Drosophila melanogaster: one gene and its partners. The protein of the gene in region 2 interacts with the protein of the main gene of each other region in a pairwise test. Each region holds a gene or a part of one and is shown on either strand. Other genes may lie near its edges. The genes, in order: CG13124, trbd, CkIIalpha-i3 and CG31244.

Evidence for each region.
Region 1: the proteins of trbd (region 2) and CG13124 interact in a two-hybrid assay, tested with the Drosophila melanogaster proteins (one large-scale study listed by BioGRID).
Region 3: the proteins of trbd (region 2) and CkIIalpha-i3 interact in a two-hybrid assay, tested with the Drosophila melanogaster proteins (one large-scale study listed by BioGRID).
Region 4: the proteins of trbd (region 2) and CG31244 interact in a two-hybrid assay, tested with the Drosophila melanogaster proteins (one large-scale study listed by BioGRID).

Annotation. Positions count from the first base shown.
Region 1 is NT_033779.5:9,902,873-9,910,592, reverse strand, and holds CG13124 (uncharacterized protein), read left to right. Parts: upstream 1-1,959; 5' UTR 1,960-2,168; exon of another isoform or gene 2,169-2,285; intron 2,286-2,737; 5' UTR 2,738-2,985; intron 2,986-3,045; 5' UTR 3,046-3,542; intron 3,543-4,149; 5' UTR 4,150-4,419; coding exon 4,420-4,560; intron 4,561-4,621; coding exon 4,622-4,718; intron 4,719-5,301; coding exon 5,302-5,455; intron 5,456-5,509; coding exon of another isoform or gene 5,510-5,540; coding exon 5,541-5,766; intron 5,767-5,834; coding exon 5,835-6,311; intron 6,312-6,376; coding exon 6,377-6,589; intron 6,590-6,651; coding exon 6,652-6,876; 3' UTR 6,877-7,214; downstream 7,215-7,720. Other genes in the region: Etl1, read left to right, coding at 1-104, 161-307, 367-669, 728-1,354; Muc30E (mucin 30E), read left to right, coding at 7,476-7,478, 7,535-7,720.
Region 2 is NT_033777.3:9,705,491-9,713,039, reverse strand, and holds trbd (trabid), read left to right. Parts: upstream 1-2,002; 5' UTR 2,003-2,559; intron 2,560-3,491; 5' UTR 3,492-3,524; coding exon 3,525-3,652; intron 3,653-3,715; coding exon 3,716-4,304; intron 4,305-4,364; coding exon 4,365-4,572; intron 4,573-4,628; coding exon 4,629-5,355; intron 5,356-5,420; coding exon 5,421-5,665; intron 5,666-5,721; coding exon 5,722-5,933; intron 5,934-5,999; coding exon 6,000-6,148; intron 6,149-6,213; coding exon 6,214-6,292; 3' UTR 6,293-7,044; downstream 7,045-7,549. Other genes in the region: dmt (dalmatian), read right to left, coding at 1-1,290, 1,350-1,830. UniProt on the Drosophila melanogaster protein: Positive regulator of the Wnt signaling pathway. Specifically cleaves 'Lys-63'-linked ubiquitin chains. May act by deubiquitinating APC protein, a negative regulator of Wnt-mediated transcription.
Region 3 is NT_037436.4:708,079-712,336, reverse strand, and holds CkIIalpha-i3 (CKII-alpha subunit interactor-3), read left to right. Parts: upstream 1-1,975; 5' UTR 1,976-1,979; coding exon 1,980-2,027; exon of another isoform or gene 2,028-2,053; coding exon of another isoform or gene 2,054-2,089; coding exon 2,090-2,599; intron 2,600-2,723; coding exon 2,724-2,780; intron 2,781-2,842; coding exon 2,843-3,004; intron 3,005-3,053; coding exon 3,054-3,125; intron 3,126-3,182; coding exon 3,183-3,257; intron 3,258-3,313; coding exon 3,314-3,346; intron 3,347-3,408; coding exon 3,409-3,627; 3' UTR 3,628-3,736; downstream 3,737-4,258. Other genes in the region: CG13896 (uncharacterized protein), read left to right, coding at 580-592, 650-1,395.
Region 4 is NT_033777.3:19,396,930-19,400,262, forward strand, and holds CG31244 (uncharacterized protein), read right to left. Parts: upstream 1,639-3,333; 5' UTR 1,554-1,638; coding exon 588-1,553; 3' UTR 501-587; downstream 1-500. Other genes in the region: INO80 complex subunit, read right to left, coding at 1,810-1,977, 2,038-2,299, 2,364-2,704, 2,768-2,945, 3,076-3,216, 3,283-3,333.

The DNA of each region.
Region 1 (7,720 bases), on a different chromosome or scaffold from region 2:
CTCCGCTGCAGAACAATCTGCTGGAGCTAATCTCTCTGCTCTGCTTCGTGATGCCCAAATTCTTTGCCAAGAGCATTGAGGACATAAAATCGTTGTTTGCTAAGGTAAAACAAAGATTGGTTTCACACAAAACAATATATAAACTTCATGTTCCTTGCAGAAGGGAAAAAGCGATGGAGATCAGGATGAGGTTTCACAGTTCCAGGAAACACAAATCCAGAGAGCAAAGCGTATCATGAAGCCATTTGTACTCAGACGGCTTAAGAAAGATGTCCTTAAGAACCTGCCCAAGAAGCTAAGCCTGGTGGTAAGTACGTCGGGCGAAAATAAATATTATACAATAATTAAATTGTTTTTTATTTAAAGGAAAAAGTGCCCATGAGCAGTCAACAGAAAATATACTATCACGAGCTGGTCGATTATTATTCCAATAACAAGGGCGAGGTGTGCAGCAGCAGCGAAAGGGCCGGCATAGCGATCATGATGGAGATGCGCCGCATTGCAAACCATCCGTTGCTGATGCGTCACTACTTCACCGACGCCAATCTACGTGGATTCTCTAAGCGCCTGGCTAATGCCAGTTCCTTTAAAAAGACCAACGAGCAATACATCTTTGAAGAGCTAGCCGTTATGTCAGACTTTCAGGTCTATCAGATGATGAACAAGCATGTAAGTGACTATCAAAGAGGTTGTCCAATGACAATGACTAAATTTGTGCATCTTTCAGGAGTTTTACGACGTGAAAATACCCGATAATTTGATATGCGATTCTGGAAAATTCCTCTACCTGGATACGTTGCTTCCAAAACTGAAGGCAGAAGGACACCGTGTGTTGCTTTTCAGCCAGTTCACCATGATGCTGGACATTGTGGAGGAGTATCTGCGAATACGAAAGTTTGGTTTCTGTCGCCTGGACGGGGCGACCGCCGTAAATGTCCGCCAGGATTTGATCACCGACTTCAATGGGGACGATAGCATCTTTGTGTTCCTACTCTCCACCAAAGCCGGTGGCGTTGGCATCAACCTGACGGCTGCCGACACCTGTGTCATTCACGATATCGACTTCAACCCGTACAACGATAAACAGGCCGAGGATCGGTGTCATCGCATGGGACAGCAGCGTCCGGTGACCATTTACCGTCTCATTTCCGAGAGTACCATCGAGGAGGGCATCCTGATGGCCGCCGAAGAGAAGCTAAAACTAGAAAAGGACATTACTTCCAACGAGAAGGGCGAGGTGCACGAGCAGCGATGTGTGGTCAAGCTGTTGACCACAGCCCTTGGCTTGGACAAGGATCAGGAGGAGCAGCTAAACAATTCACTAAACAACTCCATAGCCTCGCCCGCCAAATAGGCATTCTCGTTGTCCTCGTTCTCGTCCTTGTCCCCACCTCCGTATTTATTCTGCGCGAGCATTTGATCAACTTGGTCTAATCGTCCTACCGCTGTCAAATCCTGTTAACATCGTTTGAATTATTCTAACAATATTGTATTTGTATATTTTTTAAACTTGTATGCAAGGAGAGATTTGGTGTATGGTATGCCAAAAGTGGATCATAAATCGAGTTAGTAATTTTTCACCGTTGAGGCGACATTAGTTTTTCTTCATTAGTAACAGCAACATTTCCACGATAAACCAAGGCAGACAAGTTAATATTCTTGTTTTATTGATTTGTCATCATGATTAGTTTTCATTTCTGTAATTTCTGTTTATGTATCGAATTGAAACTATTGTTATAAGGATAAAGATCATTTTGTGTACGAATGCGATCATGTTCATTTATTTCTACATATTTGCTCTATAGTTCGAGCCGCTCGACAACCCTAAACGGATCGCTCTCGCATTTTCCCACGAGATTCTTTTGGTTGTGTGGTGCAAAGAGAAGCGGAGAATCGCTTTCCAGAGAGCACAACTGTAATGAAGAGCTTTCGGCTGGCGCGGCGATTCATCAAGTCTTTAGTCTTCAACTGATCGCTCGCGCCGATGATTTAATTTTTAAGTTAAAGCCTGCGCCCAGTGTAGCAGCCGGCAGCGTTACTCACATCCATATACATACATACGTGCGAATATACATACATGCTCACATAATACGGCGTACATCGATAAATAGATATACCCCGCAGATATAGTGTCTCGATCGACAGCAACGAACCCATGGAAACCTAAAGTAAAACCAAAATTCCAAGGTTCCATTGTCCCGTAGTTAAATGTGTTTAAATCCAATTACATCCCCGATCCTTTATATTTTGCTCTTACGAATCGGGATTATGTGATTCATGCATAAGTACATACGTTTCCTCCCCGAATACTTTCTTGAATTCTATTTAAAAATAGACAAACTGTTTGCGAGCGGAAATCATATTGTGCCGCGGCGGCGACTAAAACGCTAAATAAATCGGGCCAATAATTTGAAATAGTCTGTTCTTTTTTTTATTTTGTCTTTCTGCCAGCCCGCTGATATTATTGTTTTTGACCAACGGAAACGGAAGCAACGCCAACTGCATATAGGTTTATAGATGTATCTACATAGTGCTGCGATACAGTCATCATTCGCAGCGCTGTCATATACTATAAATATAGATGCGGCGGCACATGTGAGCAGTTTTTGGCAATTGCCAAAGAATACGGCGCACAAGTCGGGTGAAAACAAACAGCGCGTGCAGGCTAAACATGAAGAGTAGTATAGGAAAATATAAATAACAATTAATAATCCCCTCATTTTGGCCGCGCCTGTATGCGTGTAGTGACCGCTTGTATGTGTACGTGTGAGAGTAATCCGAACAATAACTATATTATATACATAAATAGCGAGCGATCTGCATTAAATGAGAGAAAAATCACAATAAAAAGAAAAACGAACGAACACAACAACGCGAACAAAAATTAAGAAACCAAAACGGAATCGGTAATAATTGACGACGAGCAGACAACGAGCCGAGAACAAGCAGCACAAAGCGACAAACCAAAAATAGACGATACCAACGGTGCGTATACTTAACGAGCCACCCGCTCATATCACTCATCTCGCCCTCTCGCTCGCACAGCAGCCACCAGTCATCCGAGCAAAAGCAACAACAATAGGCACTAAAATCAATTGTGATCACAGTGCGTTTGTGTGAGTGCGTATGCGTATGCGTATCTGTGCCTTTTTTTGCATTTGCCGCTGTATCTGCCTGCATCTGTATCTGTGTCTAGAGGCCCGCAATCCATAACCATCTAGTGTATTACCCCATATGCGGACTATTTGGGCGTGGAGGGACGCTTCGAAATATTAATTATTTCTGACACTGTTTACGGCTTGACTTGGCGCATGCCAAGCATGATTAAACGAGACACGAAAGAGCGTATCTACGAAGTAGATAAATATCTTTATACGAACAACTAAGCTGCGGCACCAAGCAACAATCGAATCGACGAATAGCAACAACGCACAAACAAACCCATCTATATATACACTATAGACAGAGATAAACAAAAGCTCAAGCAGCAACAGCAGCAGCAACAACGAAACAATTTGAAGGAAATATTTTTGCACTAAAAGGTGAGTATATCCGTCCATCCGACGCTGATTCATAATACCAGCCTAGCTTATTCCGAGCACTCTGTTTGGCAATCTGAGAATGGGAAGTGTAGAGCAATTAGCGAGGCAAGTTCACATTGCTATGATAGTAGTCACTCTCACAGGGCAGTTAACCTATGTAAGATTCTCTAAGTTCGTTAATTACCACATTTTGACAAGTTCATTGTTTTATTGATATAAGTGGATGGTACATATAAGTAAGAAGAGTCAAAGATTTATTCAAGCCACATTTTGTGATAATAGATGGTAGAGAGGCCTGACTGTACAATGTATCTTTCGTATGTATCTTTCGCGGAGACTCACTTCGGACTTCTTGTGGGCCGCAGAATAAGAATTACTCGGGGGCTGATGTCATGTTCGGAGATGAAGTGCTCTAGCCAGAGGTTCCAAACCAGATGCAACTCCTACGCTCGGCCATAAAGCCGGTTGGTTGCTCGACAAGATCAAGTAGTTTGCGCCTCCCTCTCGCATGTGGGTTAAAGAGTTTTTGTGTATCTTACTTGATATATGTTGACAATAATATAATGCGATATGCTGAAGTATATAATTAATTTTCATTGTATTCCAGACCCGGCAATCTGAATCTGCAAAAGGGGAAGATATCCCTCAACATCGTATTAAGAAGAGAACTCAACTCGATAAAGGAGGAAAGGAAACCAACTATTGTGATATGTACAAATTTACTCAAATACTGAAGCCACACATTTAGACGTTTATTCGACGGAATCCCAGTTGTGAATCGATTAACCGGAGGATAATCTACCAAAGATTAGGCTTTCATCTTCAATTAGGTTTTACCCAAATAGAGCAGAAGCAGTACTCGCGCAAAAATCGCAGGATGGCCGAAAAGGTGGAACTACTGGCCCAGGCCAGCATGAATGGCCAACAGAATGATACGCGGAAGGTGCGCAAATCACCGGAATTTCAGCCCGGCGTTATCTCCCGCGAACGCAGCTTTGTGCGCACCTCAAATCAACAGGTGGGTACACCATATCGATGTCGATTAGCAGCCATATTTATATAATTGTTTGTTCATTCAGAATATCAACAAACGGCGAAGTCTGGCTTTCAACGTACCTGGCAATCAGACGGGACAGATGAGGGGCAAACCAGCCATGGATATCTACAGGCCTCCCAGTGAGTTGTTTTAGTCATTCGTTATAAATTCTCTAATTCGCTTGGGTGCTTGGCAGGGTGCTCGGTGCTAAAGAAGTTAAAGAACTCAATATAATAGAGAATTTTTATATTTCGAGGATATTTAATCGGTATTATTTTAGTGGTGGCTTAGAAATACAAACACATCAAGTGTAGATATATGCATTTGGACGAGAAAGGTACTGAATAATCAAAAACATACATGTACATATAACGATATTTATTATAGGCATATTTTATAGGGACTATTTCCGTTTTTTTTCCAGCTTAGTCCTTAAAAAGTGAGATTGAGCATATTTAAAAATGTAAATATTAAATGTCAATAGTCACATATGTACTTCAGCCAGCCCAGCTTAAGATGCTCTATTCTTTGCTGCCAGCTTATCAGTTCCAATTAATACTTACTGAGACCACATTTTTCTTTTGATTCTTTTCATATCTCTGTCTCATACCCTGTACATTCCGTCCCTCCACACAATGTTGTCCTACCCCCCAACATCATCACATACACTCTTGGGTATACCGACCCTTCCCCAACAATAATCCCCACTTGACTCTGTCTCAGATGTGCGCGGAGAGCTAGCCGCTCCAGCCGGTGGTGTCGGTGGTGATGGTCCGAATGGTGCTATCGGTGGTGTCGCCAACAAGCTGAACGTCAATGCCCAGGAGTTCACAATGACAACCAGCTCCGGGGCACCGGCCGAGGCACTCGGCAACCGGTAATGCAAAGTCTTTTAATTCCATTGTTTACCCCTCTTCCCGTCTCCTTGCAGAGCTAAACTACAGTCTACAACATTCTTCCAGTTCGTCGCTAATACTTCCGCTCACCAATGGACCCGGAGTGGGAGTTGCACCGGGTTTGGGTCCGTACGGAAACGTGAATCGCCGCCAGGCCGGACACTCCCTCGGCAACATGCCGGGCTTGAAGGCCAACCACCGGTCGATCCTGGTGACGTATCCAATCAATACCGGTGCCCTCAGCGGTCAGCTGCCGCTAATGAACTCGCCATCCAGTGGAAATATACTTCACGTGAGCTCTAATTTAAAAATATTGGTAAAAAAAAACAATATTTCAATAAATAAACACCTAAATTCCAGACAACAAATCGTGTAAAGTTTGCACCTGAGCCCCGAGGTCACAAAGTGGCTTCGCATAATCAGTTTGGTCAACTAAACAACAACTATGCTCAGCCTTATCAGGCGAATATTAATGGAGTAGATCCTTACATGAATGGAAATGCACTGCAACGCTCCAAGTCGTTGTCGTCGGCGGATGCCCTTACTCGTGGAATGGCCGGATTGGGACTAGGTTTGGGCAACGAGGTGGCCGACATAGGACAGTTCACGCCAGAGATCCAGGCGCTTATTGACACGGCCCTGGAGGATCCCAATAAACTGAACTCTCGCTGTCTCATGGAACTGACATCGCAGTTCATCAAACGCGCGGTGGAGAGTCGCCGTTTTGCTCTGCCAATATCACGACTGTGTCTGAACATCATTGCCCGGGAGCAGAAGGAAACGTTTCTCGAGGCGCTCCTCAACACATGCCGTCAGTGGTACCAGGAGCGTGAGAAGGTAGGCAATTCAGCATAAATTTCCATGATCATTTCATATTTAAAAATCTTTTACCCCGCATGCAGCTGTTGTTTGCCATCCAGGGCATGAAGTCGCCATCACGTGTCCGATTCACTGCCTTTATGGCCTTCCTTACGGAAATGTTTTGTCAGCTGAAACGTCGGCAGCTCCAGCTACGCACCCACCACGAGGGCACTCCTCCGCCACTGGTACTGCTTAGTCTGCTCTCCAAATGTTGCGGGGATTGCGTGCGTCCACCCATTAGATCACTTTCAGAGGTACGTTTTTGATTGATCAAGTGGTTGGAATAATACATGTGATTACTATTCATAACTTTCAGATTGAGTGCTTGTTTTATGTTTTGACCTGTATTGGCCAGGACATGGAGCAGCAGTTGCCCCAGCAACTGGAGTTACTCATGAGTCTGGTTCGCGATGCCTTTTTGAATGCCGGCGAATCTGCGGCCTCCATTCGGCGCACTCTTCTCCAACTCATCGAGCTGAAGGCCTCCCACTGGCAGCTACCAGGCAATACGGTTCTTTACTACACGCACACTAACAATTAGGAACGAGATCTGGAGCTGGGGACATGGCGGGGATAAGGGCACTGTGCAAGCATCAGGACACCATGAGCAATTGATTCTGTTGTCGCATTGCATTTAGGGCCTGGAAAACTTCTGTTCTATTTATCTTATTGTATTCTTACCTAGACATAAGCAATATTTATTTCGGCAGCAGCTATAGAGAGAAACTAACCCGAGACTTGCACACTACACACCAAGCACAGTACCAAATAAGATCGAACTCTTGGATTCGATATCTTTGGACTGTGCTATAATCTAAGGCTCAACATTTATGTGAATCCATATATTTATGTGTAATAAATCACAGCTAGTCAAACGAGGGTGCAAGTTTATTTTATGCGGGGCACTGCATTATTGGTCATCACAAACAAAAAGACAATAAAACAGTATGCTTCAAATGCATACAAATTTTAAAAACTTATCTTTTTGGTTTTGTAATAATGACTCGCGCTTACCTGTTGAACTTTGTTGAACTACGACCCTGGACGACCTTATCAGCGGCCTGCTATGCCATTTATTCTGCTCCCTATTTAAGCACCAACTAAGGCTCAAAAATCCAGAGTCTTGCTCGACAAGTTGCAATGGTAAGTCGAACATAAGATTAGTAGTTACCTCATACCAATATTGTCCTTAACTATAGGTCGTTCTAAGTTGTTTTATTTGGCTTGCCCTTTATCACTCTGCAAATGCAGCGCTGGAGGGCAGTGAAATTAAGTTTGGGGACGAATCAACTACAGAATCGGCTGAAAAATATCCTGATTACTGCTGGATAAATCCTTTTCTCCCGGGCTGTCCATTTGGTCCGGGTGATGGCAATAATTCGACC
Region 2 (7,549 bases):
ATGCAAAATCATCATCGAAACCAAAAAGATTCGACCGCGTTTGACTGCGTTGCGCTGGGGATGACGTCGCCATTGGACGAGGTGCCACTCTGGTAGGAGTGATTTCTTTTGAAACAGTGGCCGTCACGTTCTTCTTCCAAGACGGCAGTGTCACTACTTCTAGTATGTTAATATCCTTAAAGGGCGTTCGTTTCTGCAGCGTTCTCCGAGGATTCGGCAGGTGCACAAAGTTCTCCGCATTCTCTTCGCTTTCCTGGTCATTGATCGACATCGATTTGCTAATTGTGGGAGGGGGACGGTTCTCCTCATTCGAGTCGTTCGCATTTGAGTCATGATTTTGCTCGTGCAAAGGCGGACAAATGGATTCCTCGTGAGGGATGTTCTCAGCATGCTCTACCGGCGAATCTGGCACATAGACATGCCGACGTTGCACATGATCACTGGAGTACGATGGCATCTGGGAGTTGTTGAAACCAAACATGAAAGTATTGGGCAATGGTGAATCGTCGGAAACGCGCCAGGGGGATTTGCCTCCCGCGGTCCTAACTGCATTTGGAGACTGGTGGGCAATAGGCGACAATGCAGTGGTGGTGGCACTAACATCTGTCACCGGAGGAGCTCTGCGATTCAGCGGCGTGCTAACCAATTGTCGCGCCATGTTGATAAGTTCTCGACGTCTGTCTGTAGATGGCAGTGGATTTTGCGCCTGGGTCTGGTTAAGCATTACGGATCGGGCCAAATTACTGTAGGCTCCTTCGTGCGCTTGCTTAGAAGTGCTCGGCTCCACATGTACCTGGACGGGCACTTCGATGGGCTGCACGTATCCGTGCTCCGAATCGTTGCTATAATCTTCCTCGGGCTCGAAAATGGTCGATAAGGAGCGTGATGGCTTTTGAAGGCGCGGTTCTATGGACTTGGGAACGACCTTGACTGGCTCAGGCTCATTGTCTTTTGTCGAAACCTTTCTTCGATTACCCACAGGTCGGACCTTCTTTGCTGTTCTTTTGGCTCTCGGTTTGCCGATTTTTCTTGACCGCACCATTACGCAGGCCTTTCCATCCTTAACCAAACGCTGAATTATGTCTGCCGCCGGATCCTCCCTGTCACTGTCATCTTCGATCTGCGACTGCGACAGAAAATCGAAAACGTTGCGGGTCACCGATGATCGTGTCCTGGTTAAAGGCTGATCTCTGTGGAAGAAACGAGGTGGTTTTTTGGGCGAAATCTCAGCTGCCGGTCCACTAGGGCTTTTACTCCTTATGCGTTGCTGACATGGCGATGTTTCGGGACCTGCAAGTAGTTGTGCTTATCAAGAAAAGTCCATCATCCGCCTGGTGAGAGCCTCTTACCTGCCACATTTTCCTTGATATTTTGGGGTTGCGTTGATTTCTGTACCTTCGAAGGAATGTACATCGTCGAGTTGCGAGCCGGCTCAAAAGTGCTGGCATCCACATCAGGCGCATCATTTCGAGAAATTTCGGATACGACACCGTTTTTTACCTTAATGCGCCTTATTTTTACCACGCATTTTCTTATGCGACACTCTGGCTCGTTTAGGGCTGTCAAAGATTGTTTGTTTGATAGTTTCGTGGGACGCCCGGGTTTTCGTATTATCGTGGTCAAATCAGCTCCGAGTTTCTTGGGACGCCCGGGTTTACGTATTGTGGTCAAATCAGCTCCGATGGACAGCTTCTTGGGACGCCCGGGTTTGCTTATCGTTGTGCTTAAGTCAGCTCCGATGGACTGTTTCTTGGGACGCCCGGGATTGCGTCTCGTTGCGGTGTTCACATCTGGCGACGGAACACACGGCACCGGCCGTGTTCTTACCATTTTAAGAATATAATTTGTTTACCAAATGAAATTCATGTACAGCTCCCGCCATTTTATTTACTAGTATGACCATCCCCCGATCTCTAAGACTTGCCATGAAAACCACTGAACACCAGTAGGTGTGAAGCTTGACTAACCAGCTAACCGAGACACTTTTCAACACTGAGCGCCAGGGACGGAGCACCGATAGTTGTCGATAGGCGGACAGAGAACCAGATGATTGGCCTCGCAATAATGTAAAAAATAAATAATTAGCTGTTTCCAAATAATCCAAATTCCAAATTCCTTGCACTACGATCCACCGTGCGTGTGTTCGTCGCCGTGAATGTGTGCGGGCAGTTTCGTTTCACGCGCCCCAAGCAAGTACAGCTGAAAATTGAGAAGGAAAGCAAGAAAGAAAACCCCCCAAACTGAAAATCGAGTGAAAGTTTTCTCATCGTCTTTGTTTTGTAATTGTGATTTTCCTGCCTGCTGCCAGCGCTCATTACTGGCAATATTGGATCGACGTCGACATAGTGTCGCTGCTGCGGGCGCGGGTGGCCGACGGCGACTATAGCAACTACACCTTATAGCTACTATAATACTAATGCTATACTCGCGGTCCCTATTGTGATTGTGTTATATATTTAAATCGACTCGATTCGAATCGAATCCAATCGCTGTCGTGGTCGCAGTCGCATTCGCGTTTTCTGGGACTGCTGCAAAAGGCCTTGCGATTTTCTGCGCCAGGTACTGTGTAAAGACGTCGATGTGGGAAGGGGGGTGGAGGCGGTTGTGGGATGGTTGGGATGGCACGGGGCGAATCCCAATAAGAAACTAGCGCGAAAACTGGCATACCAGCGTACATACATACGTACGTACATCGCACGCGACACATGCCATACATACATAGGCGAATTATAATGGCAACAAATAAATGCAACCGACCCAGCAGTTGAACCACTACCACCTATACCACCACTACTACCAAAACCAGACCCTATCCAATTCATTCCAATCCAATCCCAGGCAACGAGAACCCGAAGGCTGACTGTGACGCCAGTGGGGGAAATGGAAATGGAGCCAAGGCAGATGTACATATCTGTGGATGTATCTGCGAATTATGTCTCAGGGTCAAGGACACTGCTTCTGCCTCGCTAACCGTTGTTTGACCTTATTAACGAGTCGGAAGTGGTGGATTCGCCGCTCACCGACTTTAGGGATACCCTTTCGGTTCGCTTATCCAAAGAATAGTAGCTTAGTAGATACATTCATTGGTAGATAGTTGTCCCCCAAAACGAGTCATGCATATAGTCTTTATACTTTGCAAAATAAGTCAAGGTAAATTGAAATGTCCTCCAAATTGTAGATTTCCCTGCGTACTTATAAATCCAATATTAGTTTTTAGATAATCTTTTTCTTTTGAATGCAACATCTCATTAACTTCCGACAAAAGTCAACATAGCTATACATTATTGATCAAACTCTTCGTATCTTCAACCAACTTCGACTAAAATGATTGTCTAAGCTTACAATTGTTCAGAAATTAAACTATTTTGAAGTAAAAAAGGCAGCCAGGTGGATTTGACTAGTAAAAGCATATTTTATGGGATCCCCTTACTTGGTGACACTCGTGTATCCCATATCAAATATTCAACGTATGATCCCTTTCTCCTTGGCAGATCAACTGCATTGGCCGGCTCCGCGCATAAACAATGTGCGATACCAAAGACGATGCGCAGAAATGGAAATGTGAAACTTGCACCTACGAGAACTACCCATCCTCGCTGAAATGCACCATGTGCCAGGCGTCCAAGCCGCTGCTCAACGAGGACATCTTCCGGTATGACAACTCTGACGATCTATACCTAATCTTCTGCTAATTAATACTTGCTAATTCTTGCAGTCTGAGTCCAGCCCAGGAGAGCTGCACCGTTGCGGAGGAGGCGGCTGCCGTCGAAGTAGCCGTAATGTCGCCCACACCTTCGTCCACGTGCTACTCGCTCCAGCCGCAGAGCCAGGCACGGCAGAGCAACGTGGCGGACAGCGAAAAGTGGCCCTGCAAGGTGTGCACCTATCTCAATTGGCCGCGGAGCCTGCGCTGCGTTCAGTGCTGCACGAAGCGCGGTGGCGAGGCGATAGAGCGTGGCAAAAAGGACATGGATAACGAGGCGGACGGGGATCGTGCAGGAGAGGCGCTGCAAGCCCTTCGCATCAGCGGCTCGGAGGAGAACCTGGCCAATAAGCCGGTTCAGCTCATCGGCGCCACGGCCTCCCATCGTTTGAGCCTTAGTCGTGGCATAGACGATGCGACCCATCTGAACAATCTCGCCAATGCGTCTCACAACCAGTCGCAGTCCCAGCACCGGCAGCCTGTCCTACAGCAGCAGATGCAGCTCCAGCTGCAGCCGCAGCAACAGCGGGAATCCTCATCCTCCGCCGCCGTCCCGCCGCAGCAGCAGAAGCAGTGCTATGTCTCCAAATGGGCGTGTAACGTAGGTTTTCATATCCCAACCAATTCGCTCAGATGTACTTAAAGTTAGAATTTTCCTTAGTCTTGCACTTACGAAAACTGGCCGAGGAGCATCAAGTGCTCCATGTGCGGCAAGACGAGGGAGCGGGAGATTAGTGGGTCGCAGAACGACTTGCACGCCTCATCCAGCCTAAACAGTCAGGAGGAGAATCAGCAACAACTGCAGCAGCCAAACGTGGATACCGTCAGCGTCAATAACTCGTTCAATAAGAAGCACATTTACCAACTGGGTAAGAGTTTTTAATGTGATTTCTCTGGGTATGACTAATTGATATTCACTTTCCAGGTTCTTCGGAAACCATCAACAACTGTGATACGCTGCAAGAGCGTCAGGAGCGCCGCCAGCGTCAAATCCGACGACAGGTGGACTGGCAGTGGCTGAATGCGTGCCTGGGCGTCGTGGAGAACAACTACAGCGCTGTGGAGGCGTACCTCTCCTGCGGTGGCAATCCAGCCCGTTCGTTGACCAGCACCGAGATTGCCGCCCTCAACCGCAACTCGGCCTTCGACGTGGGCCACACCCTGATCCACCTGGCCATTCGTTTTCATCGCGAGGAGATGTTACCGATGCTGCTGGACCAGATCTCCGGTTCGGGGCCGGGCATCAAGCGTGTGCCGTCCTACGTGGCTCCCGACTTGGCGGCCGATATCCGGCGCCACTTTGCCAATACCCTGCGCTTGCGCAAGTCCGGTCTACCCTGCCACTATGTGCAAAAGCACGCCACCTTCGCCCTCCCCGCCGAGATTGAGGAGCTGCCGATACCCATACAGGAGCAGCTCTACGATGAGCTGCTCGACCGCGACGCGCAGAAACAGCTGGAGACGCCGCCGCCGGCCTTGAATTGGTCGCTGGAGATCACTGCTCGCCTGAGCTCACGGATGTTTGTACTGTGGAACCGCAGTGCTGGCGACTGCCTGCTGGACTCGGCCATGCAGGCCACCTGGGGCGTCTTCGATCGTGACAATATCCTTAGGCGGGCACTCGCCGACACACTGCACCAGTGCGGGCATGTGTAAGTTAAACGAATTTGTTTTAACAACCGTCAGCTTATTAATAGTCTTGATACTCTTATTGTAGGTTCTTTACTCGCTGGAAAGAGTACGAGATGCTGCAGGCTTCGATGCTCCACTTTACGCTGGAGGACTCTCAGTTCGAGGAGGACTGGAGTACACTACTGTCATTGGCCGGCCAACCCGGCTCGTCCCTGGAGCAACTGCACATCTTTGCGCTGGCGCATATCCTTCGTCGGCCGATTATCGTTTACGGCGTGAAGTACGTCAAGAGTTTTCGGGGCGAGGACATTGGATACGCGCGTTTCGAAGGTAGCTATTAATTTTTACGTCGCTGTATTGCATTTATTTGATTGCCTTATTTCTAGGTGTCTACTTGCCTTTGTTCTGGGATCAAAACTTTTGCACCAAGTCACCGATAGCACTGGGCTACACACGTGGCCATTTCAGCGCCCTGGTGCCGATGGAGCCATTCACTCGCATCGATGGGCGGCGTGACGATGTGGAGGACGTAACCTATCTCCCGCTAATGGACTGCGAGCTGAAACTTTTGCCCATACATTTCCTTACACAGTCGGAGGTGAGAGCTTATTCAAATATCCTGTAGAACATTGTGAGCTTAGACATTTCCGTTCCTTGCCTGCAGGTTGGCAACGAGGAGTCAATGATGCGTCAATGGCTGGACGTGTGCGTAACTGATGGAGGCCTACTGGTGGCGCAACAAAAGCTAAGCAAGCGTCCCTTGCTGGTCGCCCAGATGCTGGAAGAGTGGCTAAATCACTACCGCCGCATTGCGTAAATATGACTTGCTCTCCTTCCGGACATAGACATGCTAATTAAACCTGTAAACTTTCTTTCAGACAAGTGATAACGGCGCCTTTCATTCGTCGCCCTCAAATCACACATTACTCCAGTGATGGCGACTCGGATGAGGAGTAGAGGATATGATGCGGCACATCCGTCACCCAGCTTCTGATTAGGATGCTGTGCATAGAATTCAATATCCTTATTTTGTACTTTTGGCGATCGTTAGCAGATTTTTGAGACAGGAATAACAAGTGCAGATCCTACACTCTTGCACTCGCAGCTAGCTAAAGGAAACTATAGAGAATACATATGCATATATGCAAGCAGTTGAAAGTTGTAGTTGTAACTAAATTGAAAGCAAACTAAAGGTTAAGTAGCAACGTACGAAAATAGATTGATCGACGTATGTATATCATATCCGTTCCCAAGTCAACGTTCGTTGATTTTAGTCAAATTTATTCACACTGGGTCGTCGAGGCAATATAGACCACATTTACTACGAAATTGAAGCTATACACTGGTAGATTTAATTACACTCACATGTGAAACAATCCATTAAATGATTACGTGTACGAAAGGCAGATGCGAATTTAAGCGGTGGAATTTGTACACCTATGTACGCGGTAGTTAATGTGAATACCCAAGCTCCGGACTTAAAATATTGCAAATCTCAATGTACTATTAAATTTTAAATGGGTGGCGAACACACAACATAATTATGCAGCGGGTGAAAATGAAAGCGTCATTGAAATGTTTATTGATAGTTTTTAAAACACTTTTTGGAATTATTATGAATCATTATACATTCATGCCTATAAATATAATATCTATAATTATATAACATATATAGAAATCCTATGGTTCTAGACAGTTGAACAAAGGGCCAATAACATAATGAATTTTATTCTTATTGTATTATAAATGGAATTTTATCTCATTATTATTTTTGTTAGTAATGTTATTACAATTATTATTATTAACTTCTAAGAAAGCTTATTGTGCAAATGTACACGCAAAACGCATAAAAAAAATCACTTATTTAAATAAAAGTTTTAAGTAAAGATTTAAACGGAAACAAAATGACTATAGTTGAATTTATTTTAATAAAGTATGGACTTTCCTACTTTATTGCCCAAACTAACTTTACTAGTAGATAGATAAAAAAAAGTAGTTCATTATTATTTCTGTCTCTATAAAGTACAAAGTAAATTATAAGCAGCATCATTTATGGAATTACTTGTTATTTTTATAGATTATCAAATTTATAGGGAACGGTACAGTGGCACGAACGGTGTCATCACTAATACATGCTCTTCCACAGCCGAGCTCCCCACCTTTCCAATTGTAGCCAAGTTTAACACCCAACCGCTATTTCCATACGAAACTTAT
Region 3 (4,258 bases), on a different chromosome or scaffold from region 2:
TACAAAAATCAATATTGGTTTATTAAACTTTTTTTTACTGTGTATACTCGAGTATACGGTACCCGGTTATTTTACATTTATACTACTGCGCCCCTATCGACGAACTGTTTGGGCGACATCTAGCGTCTGTAAATGAAAGTCGCATTGCCGGTAGATGGCAGCACAGTAATAGTTATGTGCTTATTTGTAATGTATGTAGGTCCATTTCAATATTAACTTTCTATAATTAAGTTGCGGGAGGTCTCAACCTGCGGCAAGTACTCACTAAATCCTTACTGCGAGATTTTTAAATTCAAAAACTACATAATGGCAATTAAATGAGGCTAAGATGAGTATTTATATAAAATAAATGTTCTCTTCGGTAGCGAGTATTGATATAGATTAGGCAAAAAATCCATTTTCAAAAAACGAAAGCCTATTCCCATCTTTGTTTCGTGCAACCTTTTCGATAGTTATCGATAGAGAAAAATCGAAACACATATGTTTGGATCATGATACCTTTCTCTTACGCCGTCCGAAAGAACTGGCAGCCTGGGAAACAAAACTTATTCGTCATCAACTGAATAGCTATTGTAAACAATGGATACAAAGTGTGAGTAAAAAACATAAATTCAAGAAGAAAACTATATATATACTCACAATAAGCCAGCTTACGAAAGGAAGTGGTGTACATCCAACACCCGACTTTTATTGTCCCTTTACAATGAACGCCAAGCTGATTTTCGGGATCCGAAAAAAAAGATCAAGGACATTTGGGGGGAAATGGTCGTTGCCCTTGAAAGCCAGGGAATGACAGATATCGATGCAGTTCAGCTGGATCGAAAATTTAGGAACCTGAAGAAGACCTACTATAGCATAAGGAGCAAGCTCCTGGCGAAGGTACCGCATTTCCATCCAAACTGGCAGTTCTACGACGAGATGTCCGAAATTCTAAAGGATGACCCTGTCCCACCGCCGCAGGAACTTTCCATCAATGATTTCGATGAAGCGGTGGTCAGTTTGGAGACCGGTATCCAGAAAGGCAGGATGCTGTCTATGGGCACCACTGTCAGCACAGTTATTCCCCGCCAAATGCGTACGTATCGCAAACGAAAGCAGCCATTGGATGATGTCGATATCAAGATCCAGAAGGACTACGAAGTGCAAACGGATCGGCAGCGGGATGGGGAACAGTTTACAGTCTTTAATGCCGCCGAACCCAATACTAATGATTTGTCAGAGTCTGCGGCCGAGATCTCCATCAGCAACGACGAAGAGGCATTGAGACACCTAAGAGCGCTCCAGGAGTACGCCATGATCCATGATAATTTCAGGGCCATAGGACTGCTAATACAGGTGGAGCACGCCATTCAATATCCAGCCCAGATCAAGGACTTCGAGGTGGATCAAACGTAGTGTCCTTATAAACAAGCACGTAATCTACTGGAAAAGCAAAGATAAGATAAGGCACATACCTAATTTATACCTCTATATTTAAGATTTTAATATTTTATAATATATATACTTTAATTTACTTTATTTAAATATGGTTCATGCACTTGCTAACACCACTGAAAAATGAATCTGGTTCTAAACAAATCTGGCTTGGGTATTGGCTAAAATATTGCGCTGTGGCAATACCGTTTTCTAAAACCTATAGTTACAACAATCTAAAGGAATTTCACAAGAAAAACCAACATTTCTGAAATCTTATTAGTATTTTGAAGAGTAACAAAGTGAATCCTGCCGAGATCAACGCCGATCTGTAAGCAAGTTCGTCTTGGAAATTGACAAAAACCGAAAAATCTGGCAGCACCAATATGACACTAAAGGTTCAAGAAAAGACCTTCGGTTGCACAAAATAGAAAATTCAAACATAATTGAAAAGAATTAACTAGTATCGTGAAAACATGTAATACAGTTAATAAAAAGTTATAGTATTATGCAATATTGATCAAATGAAGCAAACTTTATCGATAACTTCGAAATTGCAACCCTAAATGCATCGGATGGGCAATACCAATCTGAAGTCTACAAAAAAGCATATTGTGGAAGTCTAAGTTTTGTTAAATTTATGGAAAAGGAATCCAATTTATCGGACAACTTGCAGTCCCGGTTATTTGCACTGGGTCCTGCCCCGCCAGGATTTCGTCCACCGGATGCTACCGCCTTTGCCACAGCGGAGTCAAATCTTCGTAATGCCATCCGCTACCTTAATGATACCTATGGCGAGCTCGATCAGCTGCGCACTGTCATCCAGAAGGAGAAGAATAACTCGAAGCGTACGTCCTACAAGGCGCAGTCCATGATGCTTGCCATGCAAGTGATACGTTTCAAAGGACTTATTGGGAAGTACAGGGACATTCTGATTGGCCTGCAGGATGCCGAAATCATCAAGGTCAAACAATACATAGAGCAAATGGTGGAGATGAGGAACAAAATCCAGGCAAAGACCGATCCCACACAGCGCGAGTTCCAAGTGGGCAGCTCAATCTCACTGGTGCAGGAACAGCGCAAGACCAAGAGAATCTGCCGCAGGTGGCGGGATCGCCTGGTCCAGCTGACGGAGGCCAAGATGGACAAAACTGAGCAACTTACTGAGAAACCAAAGCTGATCAATGTAAGAACCGTTACAAAAGAACTTATACATATTTTCATTGCGCTTCCAATATCCATCCATGTTTTCATGAAAACTCTCATCGAATTCTGATCGAATTTCGACTGAACTCGATATGCTTTTTTAGAAACCTAGAAATATGTTAAATGCAAAAACCAACAAGTGGAAGGAAGCTGTAAGCTTGGTGAGTATAGCCAAACATATAAAGGATAAGTTAAATGCTAGTAAATATAAAACTAATCCTAGCAACAAAGCGGTCTAATTAAAAGTGGCTGTAAGAGGTGTGAATACCTAAGAAAGCTGACTAAGAATCGTCCATCCAAACTTTGTAAGGTGTGTAAAAAATGGTCTGATGATGAAAAAGCAAAAGCGGCAGGAAATAAGAAAGCCAACAAAACGCCAATAATGGTATGACACTATTGAAAAGTCGCAACATAAATTAATACTATTATTGCAGGCGAAGTCGAAAAAATTAGAAGTACGCGTGCGTACGGATTCTGAAGAAGCTATAATTAAAATAGAGATAGAGGTGGGTGTGTACAAGTAGATCAACAGTAACATTAGCACTTATTATTAATTTTCTTAGCATGGTGAATTTACCGATGAAGAGGAAATTGGGTCATTGGAAAAGGAAACGACCTTAAAAGATGAGATCAAGGAGGTTAGTTGTTTCTTCAACCTGAAAAATGTGTTTAATTTTGGAATGTTTTTTTTTAGACTGTTGAATCTCACGACACGGCAGCAGTTGAGGTAAGTAAACAGGTCCTTGGACTGTAATAGAACTAACGTAACGATAAATGACTCAATGACAGGAGGAAAATGAGACCAGTCAAGACGATGTGGACCCCAAAGTAGTCGCTTCCTTACAAAATTCACTGAAATCCATCGACTGTAAAAATATGGCCTTGGCCTACGTGAAGGTCTTACAGGAGTACGCCATGTTAAATGATAACTATCGGGCCATTGGACTACTTACTGAAGTTGAAAAATCAGTTTTAAATCCGCCTCAGAACGAGGATTTCGATCTATGATCTTATTGACGCCACAAAAATAAAGTTTAGTTTTTATATGTAATCTACAATTAAAATGTTCGTGTGTCCTGCCTTTGAGAGTCAAGACCCAAAATGTGTAAATAATTGTAATATGCGAAAAGAGTTTATAGAGTGGAATAACCAACAGGGTCCCACTTAAATGTGGTAAACGTTAAATTAAGCACTAGATATAATTTGAGCAAAAATAGCTTTATATATATGTATGTGTACATATCAAACCAGTTTCAGCTCAGATTAGGTGGTAATGCGATTTGTGTTTTTCGGCATGTTAAACCAGTTATAGCTGCTTTAGCGAGAGAATATTTACTCTCGATCCGAAAATAAATCCCATACCGCGAACGAATACCACCACGATCGGAATCGGAACGTGGGAAGTCGGTTTAGATCGCGAGAGAAAGAGCGGAATGTCTCTCGCAAAGATACGGTTTTTGCCGCTCCGCCAAACGGAGGAGAGTCCAGATCTCTGCAATGTTCGGACCGCATGCTCAGTCATTGAGTTGCACTCGCTCTGGCAACTTTAAACACGTGCGACCGCACATATTTTCTGTTTAATGTGCCTAAAAAACTGCTGTATATTTTCAACAAAGTGTACTTTATGCTCTAAGCTTTC
Region 4 (3,333 bases), 9.7 Mb from region 2:
ACCCGTCACCACCCCTTGCTCAAGATTCACCATCGATTGCCGCAGTGCATGAACAAGTAGTTTAGCAAATGAATACAAGAGCCACACAGGGTTTTTCCGCCACCGAGATCGGGACAATGGCAAAGGAATTTCTCTCTCTATACTGACGTGTAAAATATTGTCCCAAACCTGTCTATAAATCATCAAATGAATGGGGAACAATTACTATAATGTAGAGAACTAAGAGCTAAGCCTGCATATGAAAAAATATAAAACATTTTGGAAGAAGTCATAGTACTATATTTAAAATTTATTTGACTTTCCAAATTAGTCACCGCTTATATATTCGACGTTTGAGTACCTACTCAAAGCAGTCCCAATTATAATTACGCTCTCATATGTGAAAACATATGGCTATTTTTCGTACTTGAATAGAGTACTGATCAAAACACACTTTAAAAAAAAATAGAGAAAACATTCTTTACAATAAACTATACAAATAGTTTATACGATAAAGTTCTAGAGGGTCATTAAGAGTTTTGTATTACGGATAATTTAAACTTTTGATAATTTAAAATTACTTGTGATTTTTGCCGAACTGACTTGAACTACTGGACACGCACATTGTCATAGATCTTTACGACATCTATGTCTTGAAGAAGGTTTTTACGAAACTCCTGATAGCGGGCCATTTGACGATCATTTAACTCGACGAGCGGCTTGTTTGGACAGTGTCCAACCTCCTTATGTACAATCTTGTAGTTGCACTGCCTGAGTTTGTACGCGACCTCTTGCAGGTCCAGAGGCCGACATTTGAACAAAACAGATCCTTTGGCCAAATCGGTAATGGTACTATCGGTGGCTTTGCACCACAAAGCATCAATTCGCAACGTTTGATTGAATTCCTCAAAGCTTAATGGTGTTACGCTCGGCAATGTGGCCTCAATCAAGCCAGTTTCGTTGAATAAATGTCGATTGAAGAAGCGCGCTTTGTTTTGCCGCAGTAAGGAGGCCAAGCGAAGTTTCAGTTCGGGGAGATTATCCGTCCTGATCTTGCAAACCATGGCAACCAATTGCCGCCCATAGTCCATGGGTATACTATAGGTGTGATGATTCCTCTCGCTCAACTCGCACTCCTTCAGAATTCGCTGCACTCGACTGTACGGCAATTGCAAGGGCGACAGTCGAGCCCTCAGCTCGTAGTTCTTGTCGGGATCTATGGAACCTCCCCCACGATGCACCGCTAATCGAAGCTCGTTAGCCAGTATTAACTCATCTGTCGTATCATGATCAAACTGCGCCTTTTTGGAGCTTAGTGGAACGCTGGTAAAGCCGGTCTTACTCGGGCTCCTTTCCCCATACATCGGAGCCCATCGTACTCGCTTTACGCTCGGTATCTCTGGATTATCCAGAAGCTCCAAGTCCAGCCCATTACGCTTATCGTTCTCTAATTTCGGGGAATCACTACGGATTAGGTTCGGCTTTGGTCTGTAGGGAGTAACGCTGGACTTGAGCTGAGGAAGTTTCGTAGTCTTGGTCCTGTCCATGGGTTCTAAACAGCTGTTGTTATGCATTTGAAATGAACTTGAAATTTGGACTACTTAAAGTTATTGTTGAAAATGAATGGATTTGACTAATACAATAGAAATTTCGGAGAGCGTATGAGTGAAAAGTTTTTAAAAGGCACTAATATAAATTCACAATGTGATTTCAAGAAAAAATTAAACGAAATCGAAACAAGGGACAAACTTTTTTGAAAGGCACGGTAAAAAAAATTGATATTGTACATCAATATACATAAATGAAAAAGTAAGTATAATATGAACTCACCGTATCGGCGGCTGTTAAATTAATTCCCAGTCCTCCGGCTCTCGTAGACAGTAAGAACACGAAGATATCTGCTCTCGTTTGAAAATCGGCAACCATATCGCGACGAGCGGATATCTTGCTTGAGCCATCCAGGCGCATATAGCGATGCTTGCGGTGCCACATGTACTCCTAGACATTTTATCAAAAAATTAAACTGAACAGTGATCGTTTCAAGTTTAATAAACTTACCTCGAGCAGGTCTATCATCTTGGTCATCTGCGAGTATATGAGTACTCGATGTCCATTCGCCTTCAATCGAGTTAGCAAGTTGTCAAGAACAAAAAGCTTACCAGCATCGGTAATCAGGGTTTCCTTGTCGGGCACCACAATCGAGGACCATCCACCATGAGGCTTGCACAAGGCCAATCCACTGGAGACAAGCTCCCTGCCCTGGCTATTCTCACACTGATTGTGGCGAATCTGGGACCACGCTGCAGATCGACTATCGCAGCTAAAATTGATATAAAAAAAGTTAAAAACCTGGATCGGTTTCGATGAATCCATTTGAAACTTACTATAAATATCTATGCACAGCTTGAACTTTTTGTCCCAAATCGTAAAGTATTCGTGGCATGGAAAGCGGTTCGCATACGTATTTTCTTGGCTTTCGTGGGCGATGCGGAAACTCTGGTAGCAGCAGCAGCGTCGTCACCTTAACATCGCTTTTGGCATTCGACTTTGTTTGCACCTCCACAGACTCGATTTCCAGCTTTTGCTTGGACACATCCTCCATCTCCTCGATTAGCGACGTTTTCTTCTTCAGAATCTTTGACCGAATTACACGGTGTTCGATAGTTTCCTGCATATTGTACGTAAAGTAATCGCCAAATGCGTAAACGCTGCTTTCGTTGGCGGTCTTTAAGCATAAATCATTGTATAAATTGTTCGAATAAAAATTTATAAATATAAATAATTATACCATTGCTGTGAATATGAAGTTCTTAAGGACACTGTTTGGTGGCATATAGTCGAGAGCTAGTTTGTTTTCCAACATCGGCTCCAGCAGTTGATATCTACTGTCCGGCTGCTTTTTCCACCAAAAGCGACGGTAGGCCAGCAGTGGGTATTTCTCCAAAACTCTTCGATAATGCAAAAGACTGTAGAAAAACAAACGTAAGTATTGTAAGTATTTAACCATTTGTTATTATCAAACAAAGGAGCACGACATTTGCGAATTTTGCTATTATAAACATGTTACTTACAGGTAAAGGGTATAGGAATACTCACAAATCTATCAGTCCATTTAAAGTTACTTCTACCATATCTCCCACAGATAAATCGCAAAGCCGGGTAAATCCGAAGCAACTATTCACGTTCACATCCTCAAAGAGAGACCTCTGTATGTATTCCGATTTGAAGATATTGAACCTGCAAATGGGCAGTCAAGGATTAAAAATTCAAATATGATAAAATGTTCAAAACCTATCCACTTACCGGTTATAGAGCAAGTGCTTTCGACTGGGCAGCATTCTGTGTATGAGTCCT